Oryctolagus cuniculus: one gene and its partners. The protein of the gene in region 2 interacts with the protein of the main gene of each other region in a biochemical or structural test. Links are inferred from orthologs where the notes say so. Each region holds a gene or a part of one and is shown on either strand. Other genes may lie near its edges. The genes, in order: TRIM28, CBX5, CHAF1A and LBR.

Evidence for each region.
Region 1: the proteins of CBX5 (region 2) and TRIM28 form a complex in vitro, tested with the Homo sapiens proteins (6 studies listed by BioGRID, with this or other methods). The link is inferred for Oryctolagus cuniculus from reciprocal best matches to the Homo sapiens genes CBX5 and TRIM28.
Region 3: the proteins of CBX5 (region 2) and CHAF1A form a complex in vitro, tested with the Homo sapiens proteins (2 studies listed by BioGRID). The link is inferred for Oryctolagus cuniculus from reciprocal best matches to the Homo sapiens genes CBX5 and CHAF1A.
Region 4: the proteins of CBX5 (region 2) and LBR form a complex in vitro, tested with the Homo sapiens proteins (2 studies listed by BioGRID, with this or other methods). The link is inferred for Oryctolagus cuniculus from reciprocal best matches to the Homo sapiens genes CBX5 and LBR.

Annotation. Positions count from the first base shown.
Region 1 is NC_091449.1:97,915-105,177, reverse strand, and holds the start of TRIM28 (transcription intermediary factor 1-beta), read left to right. Parts: upstream 1-3,417; 5' UTR 3,418-3,820; coding exon 3,821-4,163; intron 4,164-4,405; coding exon 4,406-4,518; intron 4,519-4,732; coding exon 4,733-4,865; intron 4,866-5,979; coding exon 5,980-6,115; intron 6,116-6,188; coding exon 6,189-6,305; intron 6,306-6,378; coding exon 6,379-6,493; intron 6,494-6,612; coding exon 6,613-6,759; intron 6,760-6,855; coding exon 6,856-6,970; intron 6,971-7,045; coding exon 7,046-7,152; intron 7,153-7,245; coding exon 7,246-7,263. UniProt on the Homo sapiens protein: Nuclear corepressor for KRAB domain-containing zinc finger proteins (KRAB-ZFPs).
Region 2 is NC_091442.1:57,188,104-57,194,887, reverse strand, and holds part of CBX5 (chromobox protein homolog 5), read left to right. Parts: intron 1-4,875; coding exon 4,876-5,062; intron 5,063-6,784. UniProt on the Homo sapiens protein: Component of heterochromatin that recognizes and binds histone H3 tails methylated at 'Lys-9' (H3K9me), leading to epigenetic repression. In contrast, it is excluded from chromatin when 'Tyr-41' of histone H3 is phosphorylated (H3Y41ph).
Region 3 is NC_091447.1:59,793,222-59,800,005, forward strand, and holds part of CHAF1A (chromatin assembly factor 1 subunit A), read left to right. Parts: intron 1-978; coding exon 979-1,039; intron 1,040-1,177; coding exon 1,178-1,246; intron 1,247-2,882; coding exon 2,883-3,109; intron 3,110-3,186; coding exon 3,187-3,340; intron 3,341-3,425; coding exon 3,426-3,506; intron 3,507-4,584; coding exon 4,585-4,677; intron 4,678-4,798; coding exon 4,799-5,057; intron 5,058-5,791; coding exon 5,792-6,255; intron 6,256-6,784. UniProt on the Homo sapiens protein: Acts as a component of the histone chaperone complex chromatin assembly factor 1 (CAF-1), which assembles histone octamers onto DNA during replication and repair.
Region 4 is NC_091444.1:40,006,364-40,013,772, forward strand, and holds the start of LBR (delta(14)-sterol reductase LBR), read left to right. Parts: upstream 1-2,513; 5' UTR 2,514-2,669; intron 2,670-6,555; 5' UTR 6,556-6,569; coding exon 6,570-6,734; intron 6,735-7,409. UniProt on the Homo sapiens protein: Catalyzes the reduction of the C14-unsaturated bond of lanosterol, as part of the metabolic pathway leading to cholesterol biosynthesis.

The DNA of each region.
Region 1 (7,263 bases), on a different chromosome or scaffold from region 2:
TGCTGCTGGTACTTCCTGAAGCCTCATTTCCCTGTGATGCCAAGAGTGATGTAGGGCCTTGTGGTGAGGAGACAGATGTTCTACTGCCTGTTGCTGGCACTGAGTGGCACTTGCATGTATGGCTGCCTCTTACTTGAGGATGAAGGTCCTGAACACCGAGGGAGGAAGGGTGGCGTCAGCAACCATTGCAAAGCGGAGTGCATAGGCCTTGATAGGCCACAGAAACCTCCGGGAAAAGCGTGTAACAAGCAGAAGGTAGGGTGGCATGCAGGGATCCAGCCCCCAGACCCTGTTGGCACCTCCCATTATGCCTCACCTAATGGCTCCTTTGTTGCCTATTCTGCCTCAGGGTCTTTGCATTTTCCACCTGAACTGTTCTTTATTAGGTGTTTGGGGGTGGCCCCTAAGAGAGCCACTTATACACTCTTTGCCAGCACCTACTTTGACCTTCTGATCCTGATGCCTCAGTGTCTGCCCAGGGACCAAGGTGGGTGTGGGTCACCCACCCTCTACCCTGACTTTGAGGAGTAGCAGGGGGTGGGGCTGTGGAAACTGCTCCGCAAAGGACGCGCACACCTCACTCGGTTCGCAGCCAGGCACTAACTTCAGTTTCTAGGGAAGGAAGTGATCATCCCGGGCTAGGGCCGTGGGGGAGTGGTGAGAATGGAAGGGGCGTGTTCCCGCAGGGGGAGGGGTGTGCGCGGAGGTCGCCGCCGCGAAGGGGGCGGGGCTTGGATTTGGGGGGCCGCGCGCAGCATTTGGAACAAAGGCAGGGGCGGGGACAAAGTCCCGCGGCCCCCAGTCCCCGCCGGGAACAAAGGCCACACCGGCTCTAGGGCCCGACAGGGTTTTGCTGCACGTGTGAGCACCTGGGGCTGGGGTGGGAGGTGCCGTGCCTGGTTCCCCCTTTCGCCGCCCGGCTCGCCACCTTTGTGCGCTCCCGGGAGACGGCAGGGGGTGTCCACTTCTGGACGCGCCAGCCCTCGCGGCCTTCCGCCCCGTCTCAGTGGTCTGGGAACCGAGACCTCGGGATCGGAAGGCCACGGAACAGCGTGTTGGGCTCGTGCCCAGCTGTCGAGTTTTCTGTCTTGAGGGGGCGGATTCCGCTCTCCTTCCCAGCTCCTACCTCCCCTCCCCCAGACCCTGCTTCCTCCCCTCAGGATTCTTCCTCCCCCCCAACATCCCGCTTCCCCCTCAGGAATCCTCCCCCGATTCTAACCCCCTCAGACTAGACCCTCCGCAGACAGGATTCCTCCCCCCACACCCTGCTTCCCTCCTCACACAGGACCCCCTCAGGAATTCTCCCCCCACACCCTGCTTCCCTCCTCACACAGGACCCCCTCAGACCTGCTTCCCCCTCAGGAATTCTCCCCCCACACCCTGCTTCCCTCCTCACACAGGAACCCCCCCCCCCCACACACACACAGGATTCCTCCTCTGACAGGATTCATCTCAGACAGGATTGATTCCTCCTCCGACAGGACCCTCCTCAGGATTCCTCCGCAGACAGGATTCCTCCCCCGACACCCTGCTTCCCTCCTCACACAGGACCCCCTCAGGAATTCTCCCCCCACACCCTGCTTCCCTCCTCACACAGGACCCCCTCAGGAATTCTCCCCCCACACCCTGCTTCCCTCCTCACACAGGACCCCCTCAGACCTGCTTCCCCCTCAGGAATTCTCCCCCCACACCCTGCTTCCCTCCTCACACAGGACCCCCTCAGGAATTCTCCCCCCACACCCTGCTTCCCTCCTCACACAGGACCCCCTCAGACCTGCTTCCCCCTCAGGAATTCTCCCCCCACACCCTGCTTCCCTCCTCACACAGGAACACCCCCCCCCCCACAGGATTCCTCCTCTGACAGGATTCATCTCAGACAGGATTGATTCCTCCTCCGACAGGACCCTCCTCAGGATTCCTCTGCAGACAGGATTCCTCCCCCCACACCCTGCTTCCCTCCTCACACAGGACCCCCTCAGGAATTCTCCCCCCACACCCTGCTTCCATCCTCACACAGGACCCCCTCAGGAATTCTCCCCCCACACCCTGCTTCCATCCTCACACAGGACCCCCTCAGGAATTCTCCCCCCACACCCTGCTTCCCCCTCAGACAGGGCTCTCCTCAGACAGGATTCCTCCCCCTAGACCCTGCTTCAGGACCCCCCCCCCCAGACAGGACCCCCTCTGACAGGATTCATCTCAGACAGGATTGATTCCTCCTCCGACAGGACCCTCCTCAGGATTCCTCTGCAGACAGGATTCCTCCCCCCACACCCTGCTTCCCTCCTCAGACAAGACCCCCCCCCCCCAGACAGGATTCACCTGACAGGATTGATTCCTCCTCCGACAGGACCCTCCTCAGGATCCCTCCCCCCACACCCCCCACATCCTCCTCAGACAGGACCCCCCCCCCCCGACAGGATTCACCTGACAGGATTGATTCCTCCTCCGACAGGACCCTCCTCAGAATCCCTGCCCCGATTCTGCTTCCCCCCTCAGACAGGACCCCCCCCTCGATTCTGCTTCCCCCCTCAGACAGGAGCCCCCCCCGATTCTGCTTCCCCCCTCAGACAGGATCCCTCCCCCGATTCTGCTTCCCCCCTCAGACAGGACCCCCCCCTCGATTCTGCTTCCCCCCTCAGACAGGACCCCCCCCCGATTCTGCTTCCCCCCTCAGACAGGAGCCCCCCCCCCCGATTCTGCTTCCCCCCTCAGACAGGATCCCTCCCCCGATTCTGCTTCCCCCCTCAGACAGGAGCCCCCCCCCCCGATTCTGCTTCCCCCCTCAGACAGGATTCCTGCCGGCTCCCCGCCAGTCTCTCGGGATTCTTCCCAGACCCTGTCTCTCTCTGAGGATTCCGCACTTCTCAGATTCAGTTCGCCCACCTGGGACAGCTTGGAGTCAGGGCAGCGGCAGGGCAAAACACGGGAGGCTAAGCGAGATTTTATGGACTGGGGGCTTTGCAGCTTGCAATTTAAGCAAGTTTTGTTTCTCAAGTTTAACAATAAAACGTTAAAAACCCCGGAGTAAGGCTCCGCGCGCAAACCGCAGCTTTCACGTTGCTCAAGTGACGCCCCTTCGCCCCTCCCCGGGCTCAGCCTTCCCCTAGCCTTGGCCCTGCCCACTCCATCACACCCCGTCCCCTCTCCGGGTCAGCGGGTGCCGCAGCGGCCGAAGACAACCGCACGCCGGGAGAGGGGCGGGGACTGAGGCGGAGGTCGCCCCGCACCGGCTCCAGGGCGTTCCGGAGGCGGAGTCCGGGGCGGGGGGCGGGGCGGGTCACGTTTGTAGGACTCGAGGCCACGCCCCACGGCGAATCAGGGCTCGACTGTGACGTCACAGAGCCCTGCCCCTCACCTCACTAGCCGGCCGAGGTGAGGTTGGCGGTGGTGGGAGGGCCCGGCGCGGGCGCGTGCGTACTCCTGGCCTCGCCCGCGGCGACCGGCCAGGTCCCGCCCCCGGGCGTGCGGCTCCGAACGCGCGTGCGCGGCGGCGTCGGCGCCAGTTATTTCTGTCCCGCCCCCAGGCCGCGGCTCTTTCTGAGAGCGGGCGCGCGGGCAGGCGGTTGTTCGCGTGGCGCGTGGCTCGGGTCGCGGCGGCGGCTGGTTTAAGCGCGGGTGCTGCAGCGGGAAGGCGAGGAAGCAGCAGCCCGCAGTGCCTCGGTATCGCCCCGCGCGCGGCGGGCAGCGGCCCAGGAGACGCGTGGCAGCGCTTGGTCTCGCGGCGGCGGCGGCCCAGCCGTTGGCGGCGAGCGCGTCTGCGCCTGCGCGGCGGGCCCCGCGCCCCTCCTCCCCCCTGGGCGCCCCCGGCGGCGTGTGAATGGCGGCTTCGGCGGCGGCGGCGGCGGCGGCCTCGGCGGCGGCGGCCTCGGCCGCGTCGGGCAGCCCAGGCGCGGGCGAGAGTTCGGCGGGCGGCGAGAAGCGCGCCACCGCCTCTTCGGCCTCGGCGTCAGCTTCGGCCTCGGCCTCGTCGCCCGCGGGGGGCGGCGGGGAGGCGCTGGAGCTGCTGGAGCACTGCGGCGTCTGCCGGGAGCGCCTGCGGCCGGAGAGGGAACCACGCCTGCTGCCCTGCCTGCACTCGGCCTGCAGCGCCTGCCTCGGGCCCGCAGCGCCCGGCGCCGCCAACAGCTCTGGAGATGGCGGCGCGGCGGGCGACGGCGCCGGTGAGTACGTAGTGGCTGGGGGCGCCCCTCCCCCTCCCCGCCGCCCTTTATCCCGACTCTGGGAGATGAGGGGGACCGCCAGGCCCCGGATAGGGCTTGAGGAATGGGTTCTGGGCCCTCCGTGGAAGACCCATTGTGGGTTTCGCGGAGGCTTAGCTTGGAGAGAATAACGCACAGGGAGGGAAGGATGAGCGCAACCTGGATGTGGGCCGGCGGTGGTCTCACGTCCCGTCTCCCAACAGTGGTGGACTGTCCTGTGTGCAAGCAGCAGTGCTTCTCCAAAGACATCGTGGAGAATTACTTTATGCGCGATAGCGGCAGCAAGGCTGCCTCCGACGCCCAAGATGCAAACCAGGTACGTCCTGTCCCAGCCCAGTAGGTTTCTGGCCATGGGGAGGGGGCAGAGCCGTGGAGGAGCCTGGACCAACTCTAGGCATTATCCTCGACATTTCTCAAGGCTCTGGGGTGGGTCGAGGTATCCACATGAACGTGGGTTTGTATTTTCTGCGTTGCAAATGCAGATCTGTCAGGCTTTATTGGATTGGTCTGACCCTACCTTTTCCTGACAGTGCTGCACTAGCTGTGAGGATAATGCCCCAGCCACCAGCTATTGCGTGGAGTGTTCCGAGCCACTGTGTGAGACATGCGTGGAGGCACACCAGCGGGTGAAGTACACCAAGGACCACACCGTGCGCTCCACTGGTGCGTGAGGCGGCGCTGCCTTCCTATGTGTGCTTTCAGCTGCTTGTAGTGCTGATTCCGTTTGGTGGGCAGGTCTTAAGATGGTTTTCTGAGTTGCAAACACCAGGACTCCAAAGCATGGATGCTGGGGAGAGTTAAGGCCGCAGGCTGGGAAGTCACATGCTGTAGTTGTACAGAGGGTTTGAGGACTTCTCAGGGAAATGCAGTGGGGGGCATGAGTCCCAGTAGTGGAGACTTCAGGGTACATAGACAGGGAAAGGTAAGGGAGAGGGGTGCTATGAATTTGGGGCTCTGGCACCTGGCTTGAGAGTGTTGGGAAAAGGGAGGCTTCCAGGATAGGGCAGCATGATAAGCTGCTCTGGGCCCTTGGGCTGTCAGTGCTGGTGAGACCTGTAAATGTTCTAGCTGTGAATACGCAGTTTAGACTTCCTGAACGTTTTCTGGGTATCTGTTGGCTTTGATATGGAAAGGAGCTTGAGAATCTCCTGAATCTGGCCAAGGTTTTGGCCCAGAACCCTCCCATGAGGAATATTTTGGTGGTGGTACTAAGGTTCCTTCAAGCCCAGAGAATAGCACTTCAGGAAGATGGGGCGTAGAGGTGCTGGCTTTAGGGCCTGAGAAAGCAGGCGGGATGGGGTGGGGTCTGCAGGGATTCTAGATTCCGGAGGTTCTAGGCTAAGGTTAGGGTGAGGGAATGGGCGCATGTCAGTTGGGGAAGCCAATTTCTGGCTGAGCCGTGTTCCGATGTGAGACATCTTGTCTTTTTGATTAGCTCTGGGGAGGAAAGGGACCCACGTGCCTGTTGAGGTTTATTAGCGACAGGGAGCTGAGTGGGGCGGGTGGTTTGTGTGTGTCGCTGGAACATGCCTGTCTGTAAAAGTTCCCATGAGAGGGAACAGTGGTGGGGATGGAATTCCCACTTTGAAGTTAGAATAACATCTTCATCTTTGCCTGATTGGGGCAGAGGGTTCTGGGAGCAAGGACCCGGGGCTCTCGAGGTGCTACCAGTACATGGCCTAGGGTCCCAGGACAGGTGGGAAGTGAGGCCTCAAGCTCTGACTGCTACCTGAGGTGCTCAAGAGCAAGGTCCAGCCTCCTGGTTTCTACTCTGCAGGGCCGGCTAAGTCTCGGGATGGTGAGCGTACTGTCTATTGCAATGTGCACAAGCATGAGCCCCTCGTGCTGTTCTGTGAGAGCTGCGACACTCTGACTTGTCGGGACTGCCAACTCAACGCTCACAAGGACCACCAGTGAGTCCCAGGGCACAGTAGGGGGTGCTCCCCTTCCCCAGGTTCAGCACCCAACCTCTCTGGTTGTTCTCAGGTACCAGTTCCTGGAGGATGCAGTGAGGAACCAGCGCAAGCTCCTGGCCTCATTGGTGAAGCGCCTTGGGGACAAACATGCAACGTTGCAGAAGAGCACCAAGGAGGTTCGCAGCTCGTAAGTGTGGGTGCCAAGACTGAGGGGTTCTCTCGGCGAGACCCTGCCTGCCCTGACCTGCCTTTTCTCCTAGGATCCGCCAGGTGTCTGATGTACAGAAGCGTGTGCAGGTGGATGTCAAAATGGCCATCTTGCAGATCATGAAGGAGCTGAACAAGCGGGGCCGTGTGTTGGTCAACGACGCCCAGGTAATCCTCGTGTGGGTGGGAGGGTCCTTGGGTAGCCGCTGCTGGCTGCTGGTGCCATGCAGAGTGGGCAGGGATCCCAGTGTCTGTCTTACTGCCCTGCTGACCTTTTCCATCTGCAGAAGGTGACTGAGGGTCAGCAGGAGCGTCTGGAGCGTCAGCACTGGACCATGACTAAGATCCAGAAGCACCAGGAGCACATCCTGCGCTTTGCCTCTTGGGCTCTGGAGAGTGACAACAACACAGCCCTGTTGCTCTCTAAGAAGCTGGTATGTGTTGGTGGGTTCACAGGTGGGAACCCCAACACCCTCTAGCCCTGTTCATTTCCCATGTTGCTTCATGCCCCTTCCCGCTTGCCCCACCAGATCTACTTCCAGTTGCACCGGGCCCTCAAGATGATTGTGGATCCCGTGGAGCCACATGGCGAGATGAAGTTTCAGTGGGACCTCAATGCCTGGACCAAGAGTGCTGAGGCCTTTGGTGGGTCCCCGTTTTTTGTCCCTGTTCTACTTTGTCGCCACCCTAATGGTACACCTACATAGTCTCTTCTTGCAGGCAAGATCGTGGCAGAGCGTCCTGGTACCAACTCTACAGGCCCTGCACCCATGGCACCTCCGAGGGCCCCAGGGCCCCTGAGCAAGCAGGGCTCTGGCAGTAGCCAGGTGAGCGGGGGAATGGACCCAGGGAGGGGAAGTGCACGGAGTCGCATGCTGTACCTGCCCCACTGAGGTCCCCATGCTCTGTTCTGTGTACAGCCCATGGAGGTGCAGGAA
Region 2 (6,784 bases):
CTTTAAAATAAAAAAAAGATTTCACAGAACTCCAATGAACTGATAGGAATTGGTTTCGGTGCTGTCCAATAGAAGTACAAATCATAATTTTAAATTTTCTAGTGGTCACATTAAATGTGGAATTAATTTTATTTATTTATTTATTAGATTTATTTTTATTTATTTGAAAGAGTTACAGAGGTGGACAGCAAGAGAGATTTTTCCATCTGTTAGTTCACTCCTCAAATGGCTGCAATGGCCAGGGCTGGGCCAGGCTGAAGCCAGGAGCCAGGAGCTTCCTGGTTTCCCACGTGTCTTCTGTTGCTTTCCCAGGCGCATTAGCAGGGAGTTGGATCGGAAGTAGACGAGCTGGGACTTGAACCTGCACCCATATGGGGTGCCAACACTGCAGGTGGAGGATTATTCTTCTATGCCATAGTCCTGACCCTATTTTAAAGATTGATTTATTCGTTTGAAAGGCAGAGTTAACAGAGAGAGAGCTTCCATCCACTGGTTCACCATCCAAATTGCCCCAGTCCTTGCTGGATCACACAGAAGCCAGGAGTCTGTCCATCCAGGTCTCCTATGTGGGTGATAGGACTCAAGCATTTGGGCCGTCTTGTCTGCTTTACCAGGAGCATTCGCAGGAAACGGATCAGAAGCAGAGCAGCTGGGACTCAAGCCATGCTTGATATGAAATGCCAGCGTTACAGGTGTCTGTTTAACGTGCTGGGCCACAATGCTGGCCCCTGAAATTCATTTTTTTTTTAAGATTTATTTTATTTGAAAGGCAGTTACAGAGAGGCAGAGGCAGAGAGAGGTCTGCCATCTGTTGGGAGCTGACCCTATCCAAAGTCAGGAGCCAGGAGCTTCTTCTGGGTCTCCCACGCAGGTGCAGGGGCCGAAGGATTTTCATATTAATGTTCAAGTAGTATTTTTTGATCTATTAATTAAATATATCATTAAAATGAATTTCAGGGGGCCAGCGCTAATGTGTAGCGGGTAAAGCCACTGCCTTCAGTACCAGCATTCCATGTGGACACTGGTTTGAGTTCTGGTTGCTCCACTTCCAATCCAGCTCTCTGCTATGGCCTGGGAAAGCAGTAGAGGTTGGCCCAAGTGCTTGGGCCCTTGCATCCACATGCAAACACCTGGAAGAGGCTCCTGGCTCCTTGCTTTGGATTGACGCAGCTCCCACCATTTCAACCAATTGGGGAGTGAACCAGCAGATGGAAGACCTCTCTCTCTCTACCTCTTCTTCTCTCTTTGTGTAACTCTGACTTTCAAATAAATAAATAAATATTAAAAAAAAATAATAAAGGTAGGATCTATGTGTACTACAAACGTCAATGTTTTGCCTTTACTTTTGGATAAAGATGTGAGTCGGGAGCCTTTGGAACATGCTGCAGGTTATTTCAGTACCCAGGTTCAGATTTCTCATCTGGAGCTTGTTGGTGTTTTAGGTGGGACAATTCATGCGTCGTGAGATACTTCGCATTCTCCCAGCCCCAATGTGGCACTTGCGGCACAGCAGTCAGAAGATGCTGTCCGCATTTCTCAGGAGGATTGCTGTCATCCTTTCCCCAGATACGAGAACCCTTGAGCTTGAGAGACCCAGAGCACTGGGAGATAGGAACTCAAGTAGCCACCTCAAGACGTTGAGGGGATCTGGTGGGCCCATTGACTCACCGCTAGAAATACTCAGATGTTTGAAAGGTCCTTGAAACTGTCTCCTTGCCATTGAGGTGCTCTGGTACCCCATGATAGGTCAGAGAGGGAAGGATCTGTGGTAGACAGATGGAGCATTTGTCATGATTTCGTGATTGCCCTGGGTTCATGAAAGACTGGGCCAGATTTTGCTCCGCCTCAGCCTTGTCTGCAAGTGGACACCCTCCACACAATGCTCCCTTATCTGCTGCAAGCTAAGGTGGGTGCCTGAGACCGTGCCTGGTACTGATCCCTGAGTACCTGTTTGTCCTGTGCATACATACCTGTGATAACGTTTAATTTATAAATTAGCCCAAGTAAGGATTAACCACTAATAACTAATGGTAGAATACAACAGCTATTATACTATAATGAAAGTTCTACGAATGTAGTCTCTCAAAATATCTTTTTTTTTTTTTTTGAAGATTGATTTATTTCTTTGAAAGAGTTAAGAGAGAGAGAGAGACAGAGAGAGAAAGCTCTTGCATCTGCTGGTTCACTCCCAGATGCCCGCAATAGCCAGGGCTGGGCCAGGCCAAAGCCAGGAGCGAGGAGCTTTCTGCAGGTCTCCCACATGGGTGCAGGGGCCCAAGGACTTGGTCCATCTTCCACTGCTTTCCCAGGCCACAGCAGAGAGCTGGATCAGAAGTGGAGCAGCCGGGACATGAACCAGTACCCACATGGGCTGCTGGCATCAGAGGTGGTGGCTTTCCCTGCCGTGCCACAATGCCAGCCCCAGAACTCTTACTTTGTGATGATGTGGGCACTGTGACACGGTGTTAGGCTGCTGCAGAAGGGTCACTGAATGCGAGCATTGCAGTTTTCAGTCTGTCTGACTGGGGCTACTTCCAAGGGACTAATGGGCAGGGGGATGAGGGAAGGCTGGATGAAGGAACGGCTGACGTTCCAGCCCAGGCGGAGCCAGGCCGTGCAAGATTTCATCACACTACTCAGAAGGGTGTGCATGTTAGAACTTAGAAGTTGCTTATTTCTGGGATTTCCCTTTAATATTTTCAGACCACAGTAGCTGAGAGCACAAAAGTGGGACCTCAGATTGGGGGAGGGGGATGGCTACAGGATGTGCTGGTCAGTGGTCAGATTCTGCCGCTTTACAGAGGAGGAAATGAGCTGAATTATTTATTGAAGATAATGTAACATGAAGATGGTGGAACAGTCATCCAAGATCCAGTGTCTTTGGCCCTAAAACCTAAGCTCTTAATTATACTATACTGTATTTGGGGTGAAAAGTAGTTGAAGTAGAAACAGCAGTATCAAAATGGTGGGAAAAGGATAACCCCTGTTTAGGACTGCTGTCTTCCCATCAGCAGGGATTCTTCCCCACCCCCTGCCCCCAGGCCTACTTGCCGTGTTAGAATAGGGCCCCTTTCTTGACTTGGTGCGTTAATTTCTTCTGGGATTGTAAACTGTACAATTTGAGAGCTTAGGGGAAAGTTACTGTGTGGGGAAATATAAAGGAGATGTTCTTCCAGTATTAGCTCAGATGATTTAGAAATTAATTTTGTCTGAATCTGGCACTCTTGGCAGGAAGTTGTTTAGGTCTAAAGTAAATAGCTGAGATTTTCTCATCGTTCTTCTCCCTGGTTGAGTCAGATTATTTGGCTGGTGTGTGTTAAAAACTATTCCCATCTAAAGACTCCTTATGTAGGGGCTGTCGTAAGTCACAGCACACCGGCATCCCATGTGGATGCCGGTTCCTGTCCCAGCTGCTCCACTTCCCATCCTGCTCACTGCTGATGTGCCTGGGAAAGCAGTGGGGGATGGCCCAAGTGCTTGGTCCTCTGCCATCCATGGTGCAAGACCCAGATGGAGTTCAGGCTCCTGGCTTTGGCTTGGCCCAGCTATTGAGGCCACTTTGGAAGTACACCAACAGATGGAAGTTCTCTCAATATGTAATTCTGCTTTTGAAATTGAAGATCTTTAAGACAAAAAGATTCCTTGCTTAAATTTAAAAGATAAAAATAATAAAACATCTTATTAGATATGATTAGAGCATAAGGTTAAAGAGTTATCCCCAAGTCAATCAGGGATTTACAGAAACTATAATATATTTATAGATGTGTCTTAGTAGAAATAAGTCCTTAAAATACAGCTCGAAGAACCTTGGTTGCCGCTGACTAAGGGGAAAGGTGATACCTGGTCCAGTTTTTCCCATGTGGGTACATTTCTTGGTTTGACTTCATAAACTCATAGTGTGGTTAGTTTTGGTTTAAAATCTATGCTGGGAATATAAAGGAGAATTTTGAGAATACCAGTTATTCTCAAAACAGCACTCCCTTGAACCAGAGTTAGTTAGATGTGATTGCTCAGCTTTGTTAATGTAACAATACATGTTGACCACTAGCTGATTACAGACTTGAGTCCAGAGCACTTGGATTCGTGTACTCCACGTCGGCTTCTTCGTCATCTTTTGGTTCGCCGTTATTGTAATGATTTAAGACCATACTGCCTTCTAAATAACTGGTTACAATCCTCTAACACTCACTGGCATTTTTTCAAAATATGAGTACCCCTGGAGACAGTGGACAGTGAGGGTGCGCGAGGTATCAGGCTGTCCTCTCTTTAGCTGTTGCACAGATGATAATGTGTGGGAACCACTCCATGAGCGAAAGTTGGTTTTTTTTAATGGCTTTACTGAAATATAATGTATTCACTGTAAAATTCGTCCATGGAAACTATAGTTCTGTGATTTTCCATACCTTTTTAGAGCTGTGCAGCCGCCTCCACACTCCACTTGCAGAGCGTTTCTGAGGCCATGGCCCTAGGCAACCACCAATCTGCTTTCTGTCTCTCAATTGGTCTCTCCTAGGCTTTTCATATATATACTCTCTTGGGCCTGGTTTCTTTGACTCAGCATGTTTTTGAAGTTCTTCCAAGTTGTGGCATGTATTATATTAGTATTTTGTTTTTTGGTGTTGTTGTTGAATAGTATTCCATTATATGGATATACCACATTTCGTTTATCCACTCACCGGTTGAATTGTTTTCTGGTTTTGACTGTTAAATACTGCTGTAAACAATTGTGTCCGGGTGTCCATGTGGACATATTTTCTTCATTGCTCTCGTGTAGAAATTTAGGATAGGGTGTCTGTCCTTTGTGCTACATGGCCTCTCTGAAGGTATTGGATTTTTTATGCCCTTGTTTTCTTTTTCCCCGTCTTTCTTGCCCAGGGAGCATAATACTTGGGAACCTGAGAAAAACTTGGATTGCCCTGAGCTAATTTCTGAGTTTATGAAAAAGTACAAGAAGATGAAGGAGGGTGAGAACAACAAACCCAGGGAGAAGTCAGAAAGCACCAAGAGGAAATCCAATTTCTCCAACAGCGCTGATGATATCAAGTCCAAAAAAAAGAGAGAGGTAAGCTTCCTTTCCTTTTTTCTTCACAAACTGTTATTTTGCTGCGAGAAGGGGAGAGGGAGGGAGGGAGGGAGAGAGAGAGAAAACCACCCTATTTCTATTCGAACCGTGGACTATGACCCACAAGCTAAATTGTTGAATTGCTGAACAAAAGAGCTTCCAGGAGGTGTGTTGGTTAGCCACAGTGCCCCCTCCTGGCTGAGTGAGAAACACAATTTGTGACTACTGAATAGTTTTAAGGTGGGAAAATCACATCTAAGTAAAACTTAAAACCACTCTCTGCCCTCTCCATAAACAGATGTCTTAGTTATCTTAGGAGGATCTTTGGTGAATTTTGGAAGAATGGAAAAGAGCTTTGAAATGTCTGCCATTTTTTTTCTTTTCTTTCAAGAATGGCACTCACTTTCAACCCTTTATACTCTCGTTCTTAATGGAGGTGAGAGAAACATAATATGCAACTAACCATTGTAAAGGATACAGTTCAGTGGCATTTATATTCTCTCCTGATCATATTATTTCTACATAATCTGAATAAGAAATTAATTTTCAGGGAGCTAGTGTTATGGCACAGTGGGTTAAACTGTCAGCCTATGATGCTGACATCCTCTATGGGTGCTGGTTGAAGTCCTGGCTGCTTCACTTCCAATGCAGCTCCCTGCTAATTCACCTGGGAAAGTGGAGGAAGATGGCCAAAGTTTTTGGACCCCTTCACCCACATGGGAGGCCTGGATGGATTTTTGGGCTCCTGTCTTCAGCCTGGCCCAGTCTCAGCTGTTTTGGCCATTTGGGAAGTGAACCAGAGGATGGAAGATCTCTTTTGCTATCTCGTTCTCTCTCACTCTGCCTTTCAAACAAATAAGTAAAATTTTAAAAAAGAAATTAATTTTCCCCTTCATTTGGAACCATTATTATTTACTGTGGGAAGAGTTAGGAAATTTTAGTTTGATCATTTGCTTGACTCCTTCTGCTCTGTAGCTCTCAGGCAACCAGCACAAGCATTGCTACTGTCTTTTTTTTTTTTTTTTAATAAGTTTTTAAAAAATGTTTTATTTTGTTTATTTGAAGGACAGACAGAGATCTTCCATCTGCTAATTCACTTCCCAAATGCCCTCAATTGCTACGGCTAGGCCTGGCTGAAGCCAAGAGCTGGAAACGCAATGTAGGTCTCCCTCATAAGGTGGCAGGGACCCAATTACTTGAGCTATTACCTGCTGCCTTCTGGGCTGCACAGTAGCAGGAAAGTGGAGTCGGGAGCAGAACTGCCTCTTGAACCTGGGCACTCGATATGGGCTGTGGGTGTCCCGGGCGGCAGTCTTCACGGCTGTGCCAGTGCCCACCCATCTGTTTTATTCATCTCCCTCTTTTCCATCTGTGGGTGTACTTGCAAACACACAGTGAACCCCCCAGCTTTCATTCCTTTCATGTCAAGGTTATAAAGCCTTTTGTGGTGAAGGATATATCACACACTTAGAGTTGAGTAAAGTAAGAGCGGAAGTCCGTCTCTGAATCTCCCAGCACCGCTGCCACAGGGGTCCCCATCTCTCTGCATTCTCTTTGGGCTCCGTCTTTGTAGAGCATGAGATCACAGCACCCCTCCCTGCAGGGAACAAAGAAATCTCCACTGCCCAGGATATACCCCAGAGCAGGTGCACTTGCCTCGCTGTGTGTTGGGTCCAGGCAACAGCGTTTATAAAGGCTGTGCAGACGATGCCTGGCCTCCAG
Region 3 (6,784 bases), on a different chromosome or scaffold from region 2:
CCGGGCGGGAGGGGGCGCTGGAGTGAGTGCGGGAGCCGGGGAGCCGGACGGGAGGGGGCGCTGGAGTGAGGGCGGGAGCCGGGCTGGAGGGGGCGCTGGAGGGGGTGCGGGAGCCGGGCGGGGGGGGGCGCTGGAGTGAGGGCGGGAGCCGGGCGGGAGGGGGCGCTGGAGTGAGGGCGGGAGCCGGGCTGGAGGGGGCGCTGGAGGGGATGCGGGAGCCGGGCGGGAGGGGGCGCTGGAGTGAGTGCGGGAACCGGACTGGAGTGAGTGCGGGAGCCGGACGGGAGGGGGCGCTGGAGTGAGGGCGGGAGCCGGGCTGGAGGGGGCGCTGGAGGGGGTGCGGGAGCCGGGCGGGGGGGGGGCGCTGGAGTGAGGGCGGGAGCCGGGCGGGAGGGGGCGCTGGAGTGAGGGCGGGAGCCGGGCTGGAGGGGGCGCTGGAGGGGGTGCGGGAGCTGGGCAGGAGGGGGCACTGGAGGGAGTGCGGAGCCGGTCAGGAGGGGGCGGGCGCTGGAGTGAGTGCGGGAGCTGGGCGGGAGGGGGCGCTGAAGGGAGTGCGGAGCCGGGCGGGAGGGGGCGCTGGAGGGAGTGCGGGAGGGGGGCGCTGGAGTAAGGGCTGGAGGGGGTGCGGGAGCTGGGGGGGGGGTGTTTGGGCCCCTGCACCCACGTGGAGACCTGGGTGAGGCTCCTGGCTTCGGCCTGGCCCAGCCACTTTGGGAGCGAACCAGTGGGTCCCCTCTTTAACTCTGACTTCCAAATAAATAAACAGATCTTGGGGGGGGGGGTACACTGCTTCCTGTACGGCAGCAGTGAGGAGCCGCATGAGGCCGAGGCCAGGGCCCTGCTGTGTGGGTGCAGGCCCGGCCGCGTGAAGCCAGGGCCTGGCTGTGGTGGCGCCAGGCCCTGCTGTGTGGGTGCAGGCCCGGCTGTGGTGGCGCCAGGCCCGGCCGTGTGGGGCCTGAACTGGGTTGCCTCTCACAGGGCCAAGCTGGAGGAGAAGAGGAAAAAGGAAGAGGAGAAACGGTTACGAGAAGAGGAGAAGGTAGAGGGGTGGGTTCTGTCGGGGCTGGCCCGGCCTGTGCCCGCCGGCTCGGGTCCTTTGGGGCCGGCGCTCGGTTCCTGCCGCGGCCCCGGGGTTGCCCCGCGCTCGGCTTCCCCTCACGGCTTCTCCCCTCGGCAGCGCATCAAAGCGGAGAAGGCGGAGATCACCAGGTTCTTCCAGAAACCAAAGACACCCCAGGCGCCCAAGGTGAGCGGGCGGTGGGCGGGCGGGCGGCGGGGCTTCCTAAGTGACAGCTGGAGGCACGGGTCCCTCGCTTTGTCCCCGGAGTGGCCTGCTGGGAGGAACGGGGGCCCTGGAGAGACTTGTGCTGAGACGGGCAGAGGCCGCCACACGCACCCGGAGCCTGGGCATCCTGGCCCCGGGGCCGCCGTCCCCCCAGGCCCTCCCAGAGCCCCTGTGCTGCCCTTTGGGGGCTCTGAACTGCTGCTTGCCACTGGCAGCCTGGTCCTGGGACCCTCCCACGCCGGCACCCGCAGCTCTGGGTCAGCCTTGCCTGGTTTTAACTGTCACAGCCTGGCTGTCCCAGGAGTGGGAGACAGTGGCTTTCTGCGTAGGTTTGTTTCTTTGCAAAGTAGAGCGACAGAGAAAGATCTCGCCTCTGCTGGTTCATTCCACCAGTGGCCGCCAACAGCCAGGGCTGGGCCAGGCCCAGCCGAAGCCGGAGCCGGGAGCTCCATCCGGGTCTCCCGGGGGGTGCAGGGGCCAAGCACCTGGGCCGTCCTCCACTGCCCTCCCAGGCCACAGCAGGGAGCTGGATGGGAAGTGGAGCAGCCGGGACTCGAACCCGCGCTCCTGTGAGGCGCTCGCTCTCCGCACCCGTCCCCGGGGCCCCTGGAGGAGAGCGCCCGCCCGCTGCCGCCGCACCGGAGCTTTTCTGTGGAGAGATGGCGGCCTGTGTGTGGCCTGGCTCGTCCTTGGCGGCCCACGGAGGCTGCTCTCTGGCGCTCTCCTCCGCGTCAGCGTCGCTCGCTGGTCCCTTCGCGGCCTCTGGGTGGGCGACCGATCTCCTCCCCAGTGTTCCGGCCTCTGCTCCTGGTGTGCGCCCTCAGCGCCTGCTTGGCCGATCCTCTGCGTGGGGCGTGGGGTGTGGCACCCGTGTGCCCAGCGCCCGTCCCCGAGCCCCGGCTGTGTGCTGGGGTCGCCAGGGAGCAGCTAGAGACCCCGGGGGCTGGCTCCCAGCCCACACCCCCAAGGCCTTGGGTGCTGTTCACTCAGCCTGGCGGCATGGCCGGCCGAGCGGTCGCCTGGGCCACCAGCCCCCTGCCAACGCGCCTGGGAAGGCGGCTGAAGATGGGCCGCGTGCTGGGGCCTGCACCCGCGTGGAGACCCGGATGGATTCCCGGCTCCTGGTTTGGGCCTGGCGCAGCCCTGGCCATGGCGGCCATTTGGGGAGTGAACCAGCGGATGGAAGGACCCCCCCCCCCCGTAACTCTGACTTTTTAGATAAATAAATGAATCTTTAAGAAAAACAACACTTACTTCCTCCCATCTGATGGTGCCCTCCCCAGCTGCCTACAACATTGAGGGCGGGGCCAGGCCAAAGCCAGGAGCGCGGATTCGGTCCAGGTCTCCCGCTGCCTTCGCGGGTGCTGGACTCGGCTGGGGTTCACAGCCAAGCGCTCGAGCGTGGGCCGCAGCTGTGCTAACGGCTAGGCCGGACGCCCGCCCGTCCCGGCGTGGCCCGCCATGACCCGGGCTGCTCGTCGTCCCCGCGGGCGAGGCCGCTGACGGTCTGCCTGTGCCAGGGGCGGCCGTGTGTTTAGTGGCCTGGGAGCAGCCGCGGCCGGCGCCCCGTGTCCCAGCGGGCCCTCGTCTGTTGCAGACCCTGGCCGGCTCCTGCGGGAAGTTCGCGCCCTTTGAGATCAAGGAGCACATGGTGCTGGCGCCGCAGAGCCGCGCCGCCTTCGGCCAGGACCTGTGCCGGCGGCTGGACCAGCTCCTGCGGCAGCAGGACGGCGACTTCTCCTTCCTGAAGGACCTCAAGAGCCGGCGGCCCCTGCGCTCCGGCCCCACGCGGCTCTGCGGCCCGAGCGCCGAGCTGTTCAACAGGTGAGGGCGCGGCCCGCGGGCCCCGGGCCGGCCTCCTGCCCCCGGCGCCGGCCTCAGCGGGGCTCTGCCTCCCTCAGTGACGTGGTGATCGTGGGCGGCGTCCCGGAGCGGAGGAAGTTCGGCCGCATGAAACTCCTGCAGTTCTCCGAGAACCACCGGCCGGCCTACTGGGGCACGTGGAACAAGAAGACGACGGTCATCCGCCCGCGGGACCCCTGGGCCCGGGACTGGGTGAGCCCCGCGCTCCGGACCCCGCCGCGCCCGGGGGGCCTGGCGTCCCCGAAGCCGGCCGACGCCCTGCGCGTGTCCCTTTCAGACGCTGCTGGACTACGAGGTGGACAGCGACGAGGAGTGGGAGGAGGAGGAGCCCGGGGAGTCGCTGTCCCACAGCGAGGGGGTAAGGACCGGCCGGGATGGGACAGGCCGCCGGCTGCTGCCAGGGCCGCGGCTCCGCCTGCCTGCTCGCCAGCCCCGCCCCGCCCACGCCAGCCCCGCCCACGGCCGCAGCCCCACCCCGCCGCTCCCTAGCTCTGCCAGCCCCGCCCATGGCCGCAGCTCCACCTGCCTGCTCGCCAGCCCCACCCGGGCTCACTGGCTCTGCCAGCCCCGCCCACGTCAACCCCGCCCACGGCCGAGGCTCCACCCTGCCCTGCTCCGCCCACACCAGCCCCGCCCACAGCCGCGGCTCCGCCTGCCTGCTCGCCAGCCCCACCCGGGCTCACTGGCTCTGCCAGCCCCGCCCACGTCAACCCCGCCCACGGCCGAGGCTCCACCCTGCCCTGCTCCGCCCACACCAGCCCCGCCCACAGCCGCGGCTCCGCCTGCCTGCTCGCCAGCCCCGCCCTGCTCACGCCAGCCCCGCCCATGGCTGCAGCCCCCCCCCCGCCGCTCACTGGCTCTGCCAGCCCCGCCCCACCAACCCCTCCCACTACCGCGGCTCCGCCCCTTCCACGTCTGCCCCCTTCCACTACCGCGGCTCCGCCTGCCTGCTTGCCAGCCCCACCCCACCCACGCCAGCCCCGCCCACAGCCGCGGCTCCGCCCTGCCCCGCCCCACCCACGCCAACACCGCCCTGCCGGCCCCGCCCACGGCCGCAGCCCCACCCCGCCGCTCGCTAGCTCTGCCAGCCCCGCCCATGGCCGCAGCTCCGCCTGCCTGCTCGCCAGCCCCGCCCCGCCCACGCCAGCCCCACCCACAGCTGCGGCTCCGCCTGGCTGCTAACAGGCTCCCGCCACACCCCGCCCACGCCAGCCCCGCCCACGGCTCCGCCCCGTCCTGCCCACGGCTGCAGCCCCACCCCGCCGCTCACTGGCTCTGCCAGCCCCGCCCCACCAACCCCTCCCACTACCGCGGCTCCGCCTGCCTGCTTCGCCAGCCCCACCCCGGCTCACTGGCTCTGCCAGCCCCGCCCCGCCCACGCCAGCCCAGCCCACGGCCCTGCTCCCCCGCGTGACGAGCTTGCTTTTCTCCCTGAGGATGAGGACGACGACGTGGGAGAGGACGAGGACGAGGACGACGGGTTCTTCGTGCCCCACGGGTACCTGTCTGAAGACGAGGGCGTGACGGAGGTGAGGGCCGGGGAGCCAGGGCTCGGCTTCCCGCGCCTCGGGCTCCGTGCAGCGGGGTCCAGCCGCGCGCGGAGGATCCGGCCCACGCGGGGCCCTGACCGACGCGCGCTCTCCCCCGCAGGAGTGCACGGACCCCGAGAACCACAAGGTGCGGCAGAAGCTGAAGGCCAAGGAGTGGGACGAGTTCCTGGCCAAGGGCAAGCGCTTCCGCGTGCTGCAGCCCGTGAAGGTCGGCTGCGTGTGGGCGTCCGCGGTGGGCAGCTGCGCGGGCGCCGACCTCCGGGTGCTGCAGCAGTTCTCGGCCTGCTTCCTGGACACGGCGCCCGCGGACGACGAGCAGGCGCCCAAGGCCTCCAAGAGGGAGAAGCGGGACCAGCAGAGTGAGTGGGGGCGGGGGGGCGGGGGGAGTGAGGGGCCTGGGGGGCGGGGTGAGTGGGGGGCCCGGGGGGCTGTAGCATCAGGGCCTCCCGCACCCCTGCGGGGTTCCTGCCCTGGCCGGGGGGTGTTCGGGGTGAACCGGCAGGTGCACAAGATCCCCCTCTACCTCACAGAGAGACAGGGGGCCTGCCGGGAGCCCGAGTGCCCTGGGGCTCGGGAGCGGGTGGGGCCCGCGTCCCGCTCACCGTGTCCCGCTCACCGTGCCCCGCCCCCACTCACCGCGTCCCGCTCACCGCGCCCCCCCCCCCCGCTCACCGCGCCCCCCCCACCATGTCCCCGCTCACCGCGGTCCCACTCACTGCGCCCCCGCTCACCCTGTCCCTCCCCCCAGTCCTGGCCCAGCTGGGCCCCGCTCACCGCGACCCCCTCCCCCCCCAGTCCTGGCCCAGCCGCGCCCCGCCCCCCGCTCACGGCTCGCCCCTCCCCCCAGTCCTGGCCCAGCCCCGCCCCGCCCCGCTCACGGCTCGCCCCTCCCCCAGTCCTGGCCCAGCCCCGCCCCGCTCACGGCTCGCCCCTCCCCCAGTCCTGGCCCCGCCCCGCCCCGCCCCCCAGTCCTGGCCCAGCCCCTCCCCGCTCACGGCTCGCCCCTCCCCCAGTCCTGGCCCCGCCCCGCCCCCGGCTCGTCCCGCCCCCCCAGTCCTGGCCCCGCCCCGCTCACGGCTCGCCCCTCCCCCAGTCCTGGCGCAGCTGCTGCCGCTGCTGCACGGCAACGTGCACGGGAGCAAGGTCATCATCCGCGAGTTCCAGGAGCGCTGCCGCCGCGGGCTGCTGGGCCGGGACGCCGGCCGCCCCCCGAGCCCGGGCCGCCCGCAGCCGCCCGCGGCCGCCGAGGACGCGGCCGTGCCCTCCAAGGCCCGGCTCAAGCGGCTCATCTCGGAGAACTCGGTGTACGAGAAGCGGCCCGACTTCCGCATGTGCTGGTACGTGCACCCGCGGGTGCTGCAGCGCTTCGACCAGGAGCACCTGCCGGTGCCCTGCCGCTGGAGCTACGTCACCGCGGCGCCCGCGGCCCCCGGAGAGGACGGCGGCCCCGCCCCCGCCGCGCCGCCCGCCCCGGCCGCGCCCGGCTCCCTGAAGAGGAAGTCGGCGGGCAGCATGTGCATCACCCAGTTCATGAAGAAGCGGCGGCACGACGGGCAGGTGGGTGGGCGCACACGGGGAGCCCCGGGCCTGCGCGTGCCTGCGTGCGGGGGTGGGCGCGCGGCTCGGCCCCTGCTCCGCGCACGGGGAGCCCCGGGCCTGCGCGTGCCTGCGTGCCGCGGGTGGGCGCGCGGCTCCGCCCCTGCTCCGCGCACGGGGAGCCCCGGGCCTGCGCGTGCCTGCGTGCCGCGGGTGGGCGCGCGGCTCCGCCCCTGCTCCGCGCACGGGGAGCCCCGGGCCTGCGGGCGGCCTGCGTGCCGCGGGTGGGCGCGCGGCTCCGCCCCTGCTCCGCGCACGGGGAGCCCCGGGCCTGCGCGTGCCTGCGTGTCGCGGGTGGGCGCGCGGCTCCGCCCCTGCTCCGCGCACGGGGAGCCCCGGGCTTGCGCGTGCCTGCGTGCCGGGGGTGGGCGCGCGGCTCCGCCCCTGCTCCGCGCACGGGGAGCCCGGGCCTGCGCGTGCCTGCGTGCCGGGGGTGGGCTCGCGGCTCCGCCCCTGCTCCGCACACGGGGAGCCCCGGGCCTGCGCGTGC
Region 4 (7,409 bases), on a different chromosome or scaffold from region 2:
TTAAAAATTTTATTATTTTTAAAAATAAATCAGTTATTTTCAAAATGATTTAATGGGGCTGGCACTGTGGCGTAGTAGCTTAAACCTCCGCCTGTGTTGCTTGCATCCCATATGGGTGCCAGTTCAAGTCCTAGTTGCTCCTCTTCTGGTCCAGCTCTCTGCCATAGCCTGGGAAAACAGTGGAAGGTGGCCCAAGTGCTTGGGCCCCTGCACTCCTGTGGGAGACCAGGAAGAAACTCCTGGCTCCTGATTGGCCCAGCTCTGGCCATTGTAGCTGTTTGGGGAGTGAACCAGCAGATGGAAGACCTTTCTGTCTCACCCTCTCCCTGTAACTCTGCCTTTCAAATAAAACTAAATAAATCTTTAAAAAACATCTTCAGTAATCTGCAAGGTATAACGTTAACTAAGCTGACTTTAGTAATTTACAATCTTATGACTTTTTAAAAAAGATTTTATTTATTTATTTGAGAGAGAGAGGGAGACAAAGGTTCTTCCACCTGCTGGTTCACTCCCCAAATGGCCGCAGTCACTGGAGCTGTGCTGATCTGAAGCCAGGAGCCAGGAGCTTCTTCCAGGTCTCCCATGCAGGTGCAGGGGCCCAAGGACTTGGACCATCTTCCACTGCCTACCTGGGCCATCAGCAGAGAGCTGGATCGGAAATGACATTTGAAGGACAGCAGCATCTCTTAGGTCTCGATATGGTATCTGTGCTGGGTCCCTGTGGACCTGGTGTAGCACTTTGATTTGTGAAGCTCTACGAAGTGGTGTTAATGTTACCTTACCTTTGGGGTTGAAGCAACTGAGACTTAGGGGTTTGCCAAAACTCCCAAGGGTTTTCTGACCTGGAAGTGTAATGTCCATTTCTGTAAACAAATTCTGTCACCGTGATGGCAATTTGATGTCAGGGCCTGTTCTTAGTGAAGTGGGAGAGGTGGGACTGAATTTTATTCCAGGTCCTTGCCTTCTTGCACTTGGAGAAGCATTCTAAGTACAGGCACATATACAGGGTGCAAAGTAGTGAGTTTACTTAAAAGTGAGACAGCAGGGGCCGGTGCTGTGGCATGGCCGGTAAAGCCACGGCCTGCGATGCTGGCATCCCATATGGGTGCTGGCTCAAGTCCTGGCCACTCCACTGCCAATCCAGCTCCCTACTAATACTCCTGGGAAAGCAGAAGAAGACGGTTCCAATGCTGGGGCCCGGGAAGAAGTTTCTGGCTTTGGGCTAGCCCATCTCCAGCAGGTGTGGCCATTTGGGGAGTGAACCAATGGAAGTGTCTGTCTCCCTCTGTAACTCTGCCTTTCAAATGAATTCATAAATGCCTTTTAAATCAAAGGTGGGACAGCGCACACACACCTGGGCATAGTTGAGGCATGGCGTAGGCCAGAGGTAGACAAGGCGTAGGGAAGCGGAGGTGGAGAGAAGGGCACCTTCGGCAGCAGCTCCAGTCGGGGGTCTCTGACGAAGGAAGACCCGCCCAGTTGCCCGCCTCTTTCATAGGGTTGGAAGGGGCGCGGCTGCAGGCGTCGCCCATCCCAGGGCCCCGGGGAAGAGACATTCCTCCCCGAGGGGGCTACTTGATGGACACGCGGGTAGGGTTACAGGAGGGGCGAGGAGGCTTCTGGTTTCCAGCTCCGGCCTTCATCTCGTTCTCGTATTTCCTGGCTGGGGGGTGGGGGGGACTTCGATGAGCTCATTCACACCGAACGCGAGTGACTGAGGCGGCCCAACGTATCCGCCTGCTTTCTTCAGTGTTTTGTAACTGTGTTAGGCTAGAACAAGCCTACTCGCGCTTCCGAAGCAGAAATCCACTTAGGTGTCCTTGGTAAGTGGGTTGAGAAAGACTCTGATTAAAACCACACTGCAAAACAGGGAAGCCCGACCGGCCTGTTTTAAACTCTCGACCTCAAAAGGAAGGAAGCCAGCCATGCAATGATGATAGACTGCAGGGGGCACAGGGGCTGGGAACCAGGGGGGGTCCCTTACAGCCAGGCTTGCGGGCCTTTCCGCCTCTGGCCCCGCGTCGTGGCGGGCTTGCCCTTCCCACGGCAGCGTCGTGCGGGCGCCAGCTGCCCCCGGACGCCTCAGGAGCCGCGGCATCGTAGCTCGCGCTAAGAATGGCCCCCATTCCATTTTAACCAGAAGCACCTTCGGCTCAGAACCTTCGTTATCACCATACGAATTTATTATTTTCTTCCAAGCTTTTTTTTTTTTAATCTCTTCTGCCAAGCCACCTTGGACCCCCAATTATCCCCTGCGAAAAGCCAGGAGGGTAAAGGCGAGGAGCGCGCGGTCCGTGGGTTGCGAGGGCGCCTGGGCGGCCGAGATAAGGCCGGGCCAAACATGCCCGCGAGCTGCACCAGGCGCCGACCCGCCCGCTCGGATGCCCCGGCGTCCCCGGGCTCCGGAGCCGAGCCGCGGGGCGGGGCGGAGCGGACGCGCCACGGCGCGCCGCCAATCGACGGCGCCAGGAACGATTCAAAACGCCGAGGGGCCAATGGGAGCTCTGGGCGGCCCCCAGGGGCGGGACCGGGTGCGCGCGCGCCCGGGCCTCGGGACCGCGGGGCGCGAGAGCGCGGCGGGCAGCGTCGCGCGCGCGGAACCGCCGCGGAGGTGCTGCTGCGCGACTCTTCCCTGCCGCAGTGTGAGTTCCCGCCGGAGCCCGGCGCAGGTGAGCCCCCGGCCCCGCCCGGCGCCCGCCCTCCGCTCCCCGCTCCCCGCGGCGCGGCCTCCGAGGGGCGGCCAGGGGTGGGGGGAGGCAGGGGCGGGCGCCGCGTGGGGGCCGGGGTCCTCGGGCGCAGGGCCTGGCGCGGCGGCCTCGCCTTCGCTGCTTTCCCCTCCCGCTCCGCCTGCTCGCTGGGCGGTCGGCGGCTGCGGAAGTGGAGCGGCGGGTTTTGAACCGCGGACGTTTCCCTCCATGTTGGAGGCGCGCGGTGGCGCGGCGCGGGGTGGGCGGGCGGCGGTGGGCGCCTTTGTCCCGTGGTCGAGCGCCGCTGACAGATCGGCGGCGCGGGGCTGCTGTGGGAGTCGGCTTTGTGGTGCCTGGCCCCGGCGGTCTCAGAACGCGGACGTTTTGGGTCGGCTTGCTCTCTCCTGCTGCGGCGCGATCCTGTTTCTTTTCTTTCTTTTTCTTTTTTTTTTTTTTTCCCAGCCTTTTAAGGTTAAAACGATCCTCCCGCCCCGAAGTGACAGCTTGCCTCGCGCTTCCCGCAGCCTCAAGGGGCACTTAGTGAGCACTTGATCGCGCGGGGCCTTGTTCCAGGCGCTCTGGCTGAGCGCCGCGCTGTCCGGCGATGCTTGGAAAGGGACACAATGGACACGCTCAGGGCCGGGTGTGGGCGGCCCGGGGCTTCGGCCCGCCGCGGGTGTGCGTTTCCCGCTGCCGCCCCCCGGGCGGACGCCGGCGGGCCGGGGTTGCACCCTGGGGATTGCTCCGAGGGGAGGCTGGGGTCCAGGGAGGAGGGGGAGGGGGGCTTGCTTTGGCCCTGGCCAAATTTCAGGACAAGTTTAGCTTCCGAGAGCCTTCTGGGGAGTGGGAAGAGTAGAAGGCCGCTGTGCCTGTACGGCCGGCCGGGAAGGCGGCATTTGGGTGCAGCGGGAGGGAGCGAGGCCAGGGCTTGTGCGTCGTGCTGGTCGGCGCAGGTGTTGCAGGCACCTTCACCTGAGTTGTTTCTGTCACATTCAGACCAGTTGGTAAAAGTGAAGGGAATGTCCGGAAGACCGGGTAACAGTCGTCGGCAGGGAAAGGCATCAGAGGATTGTAACACTGATAAATAGTAACACGCTGGCGCCTCTTGAGACGGAAGAGTCAGCAAGCCTCCGGCTAAAGAGAGGGGAGGCTGCGGCTCCAGGAGCTTCTGCTCCTGATGACCGAGGTCAGGAAACGGGTTTTCCTTCGGAGCACCCGGCTAATGTCCTTGCCCAGAGAAGCCAATCTTCGTCAGTCTCACTCCCTCTGGCCTAATGACATGCGCAGGTGTCTGGGGCCCTGCGTCCTACCCTGGCCCTGCAGGAGATTATGTTAGGATGCAGTTGCACCATATCCGCCCATCTGGCAGTTGTGTGTGGATCTTGTGCAAAGTGGAGGAGTCCGCGTGTTGCTGGCTTCGTCTTTGGGAACATTTGTATGTGAGACAGTGGTCTCCCAAGCAGAGTGCTGGTTTCTTTTGTTTTGTCGTCTTTTTCTATTCTTTTTCTGTCTCTTGTGTCTCTTGTGTGTCTCTCTCTCCCTTCCTTCCTTTTTTCTTTTCTTTTTTTTTTTTTTTTAAGATTTATTTATTTGAAGGGCAGTTACAGAGAGGCAGAGGCAGAGAGAAAGGTCTTCCATCCATTGGTTCACTCCCCAAAGGGCCACAACGGCCAGAGCTGGGCTGATCTGAAGCCAGGAGCTTCTTCTGCATGCCGGTGCAGGGGCCCAAGGACTTGGGCCGTCTTCCACTCACTGCTTTCCCAGGCCTTAGCGGAGACCTGGATCAGAAATGGAGTAGCATGGACTCAAACTGGTGCCCATGCCCATGTGGGATGCTGGCACTGCAGGCAGCGGCTCTACCCGCTGTGCTGAAGCGCAGGCCCCTGGTTTCTTTTTTGCGTCTGTCAGGAAAGATCACTATCAGGTCCCAACTCTTAAGTAAATCTTTTTTAAAACTAAGCTTTGGGACGTAGCATGCATCCACCAGATGGCTTACTTTGACTCAAACCATTTTACTTAATGGGTAACAGAAAAATCTTTTTGGCCTTGACCTGTGTTCAGTATTGCACAGTACTATGAGTGCACTGTGTCATAGGTGCAAGGCAAAGATGTCCAAAAAATGACATTTTTTGTAAAGGTCCAGAAAGAATCTGCTCACGGGCCTTTACAGGTAGCCCTGAAGTCTTCATTGTAGGAACTGCCTTCTTCAAACCCCGGTTGAGCAGTGTAGAACTAGCACTTAGGACGGTGGATTGACTTTGGGGAGCCCAGGGGGAGGAGGGGGCACACGAGAAGAGAGAAGTAGGGCACATTTCCTTCCTCTTTCTTCGTACTTGGGGCTTGAGGCTCAGTGTTGAAACAGGCAAAGCTTGCTCTTGTCACCTTCCCTTTCTGTGCGCCTCCTGCCTGTCCAGAGCTGGCCGCTGCTCAGGTGCCCGCCCCTAGGGTGACTCCCTGGCCGGGCCTGACTTCATACCTCGAGCCTACACCCATTCATTACCCACTGATGCTATCTCAGGTGTTGGGAAGAAAGCAGGCTCTTACCTAATGTGTAACTGGCTGACATCTTTGAATCGCCAGATAAGCACTTGTGTTTTCTGTAATCTACTGCTGTCTATCTAGAAGCTATGTGAACGAGTGAAGCTTGGGCAGGTTTTTCTCAGGTGATTAACAGCGGGGAGGTGTGCTCAGGAAAGACTTTCCCAGGAGGCCCAGGTCGGGCAGCCTTCTCGCAGTGGTCTGAGGGCTCGGGCTGTGACAGGAATGTGCATCCCTGTGTCGCCTTGCTGGCCAGCTGCAAGTGACTTAGCGTGCCCCCATGGGTCTTGCTGTCTGCCTCTTGGAGCAGAGCGGGCCCCCGCCGGCTGGTTCATGGTGTTGGAGGGTCGGAGGCGCTGGTGGTGGACCTGCTGCTCAGCAGAGGGAGCAGCGTGACCACCAGGAGCTGGAGGCACCAGCAGTCACCTGACATTTCAGGTGGGGGACAGGCCTCGTGGAAGTGACACTGCTCGCAGATTTGTTGGTGGCTTCTTGGAGTGTTGTAGATCCCAGGCTTCGTGGGCCAGGCTTTGATTCAGTGGAAAAGAATGTTGTAATTGGGGGGTCGGTGTCTGCCACAGGCTTGAGAGAGGGGAACTTGGATGACGGCCAGGTGCGTGCTGCTCTGCGTGGGTGGTTGGCAGAGTTACTCGGTAGACGTTTGGGCTTTGGCTCCAAAAATCAAAAGCTTATAACGCCCACATTTGCTATTCATTCTAATTTTAGAATTATTTTTCTTGTTGATGGGTTATTGGCATATTAGCTGCACGTTTTTGGTTTTCCTAGTCTGTTTTCAATAAAGGCAATTTATTAAAATGTAATTGAAAACATTTTAAAAACTTTTGTAAAACAATATGCAAATACACAGTCAGCAAATGTGTCTTGTGCGAGACTGTGCTCTTTTTTTTTTTTTTTTTTTTTTGCTCTGACTTTCGATTAGCAGGAAATACGGTGACTGTAGGTGGGTAGCATTTTGCATTAGAGCAACTATTTGATGCCTGCATACATTGTCATAACTAATCCTTAGTGTCGCATGTGTCACACTGGCTAAATCAGCCTTATGTAGTGATTCCACATGGGATACAATGTGGCAGAAAGGACACCTTCTGTGTGGTGGTACCTGCTGTTTCCTGCCATTTACATTGTTAAACTTCAGTTTTCTCATCTTTAAGGAGTTGTACCCCTTTCCTCTAGAAACGCTTCTGGCCCTGCACTTTGACCATTTATTAAGAAAATCTGGAAAGCTGTAGCTTCGAGATCAGCCTATGGAAAAAAATATAAATATAACTGTGCACATATTGACTCAATTTTTTTCTTTAAAATTGTTCAGGCTAATTTTAGAAAATGCCAAGTAGGAAGTTTGCGGATGGTGAAGTGGTAAGAGGTCGGTGGCCCGGGAGTTCGCTTTATTACGAAGTAGAGATTTTGAGTCATGACAGCAAATCTCAGCTCTACACCGTAAAATACAAGGATGGAACTGAGCTGGAATTGAAGGAGAGTGACATCAAGGTAAGCGCTCCTCTGGCTTCCCGGAGAGTGTTTACAGTGAGTGCGGTTTCTAAGGCAGGGTGGTGAGTTCTGGCTCTGGGTCGAGTTCCTGCTGTGGGTCACATGCTGTTCTGGGCTCTGGGGATGCATGAAGAAGGCACAGAGCCTCGATCCCCAGCAGCTCAGTTTACTGGGGAAAGTAGACCTTTACGGTGGGCTGCATGTATGCTGCGGGTGGGACCGAGCACATCAAGAGTAGGGAATGGCCCCGGTGTCGGGGAAGCTGAAGCCTGGACCAGGTGCTGAGGACAGACTGGAATGACGAAGTTGATGTTGCTGGAAGGGTGTGATGGTCGGGCCGGCCGAGGGATAAACAGGGCTGCGTGGGAAGGATTTTTTATCTTTCATGTCCAGGGGTTTGGGCTTAACTGAGAGTGCCATTAAATAGCTTTGAGTCCAGCCCATGGCTTTTCAGCCCATCTAGTGAGGGCCTGATGGATGGTATACAAATACTTTACAAAAATGAATTAGTAGAAAAATCAAAAGACATCCTGAGTAAAAGCCACACATTTTTATTGTAAGATTCAACAGACACTAAGTTGGGTTGTCAAAGTGCTATGACAGTTCTGTCCGCCTGTTAGCAATCCTGGCGCTCACTGCCGAGCAGTAACCAGCAGCTCTTGGATCCTACTTTGC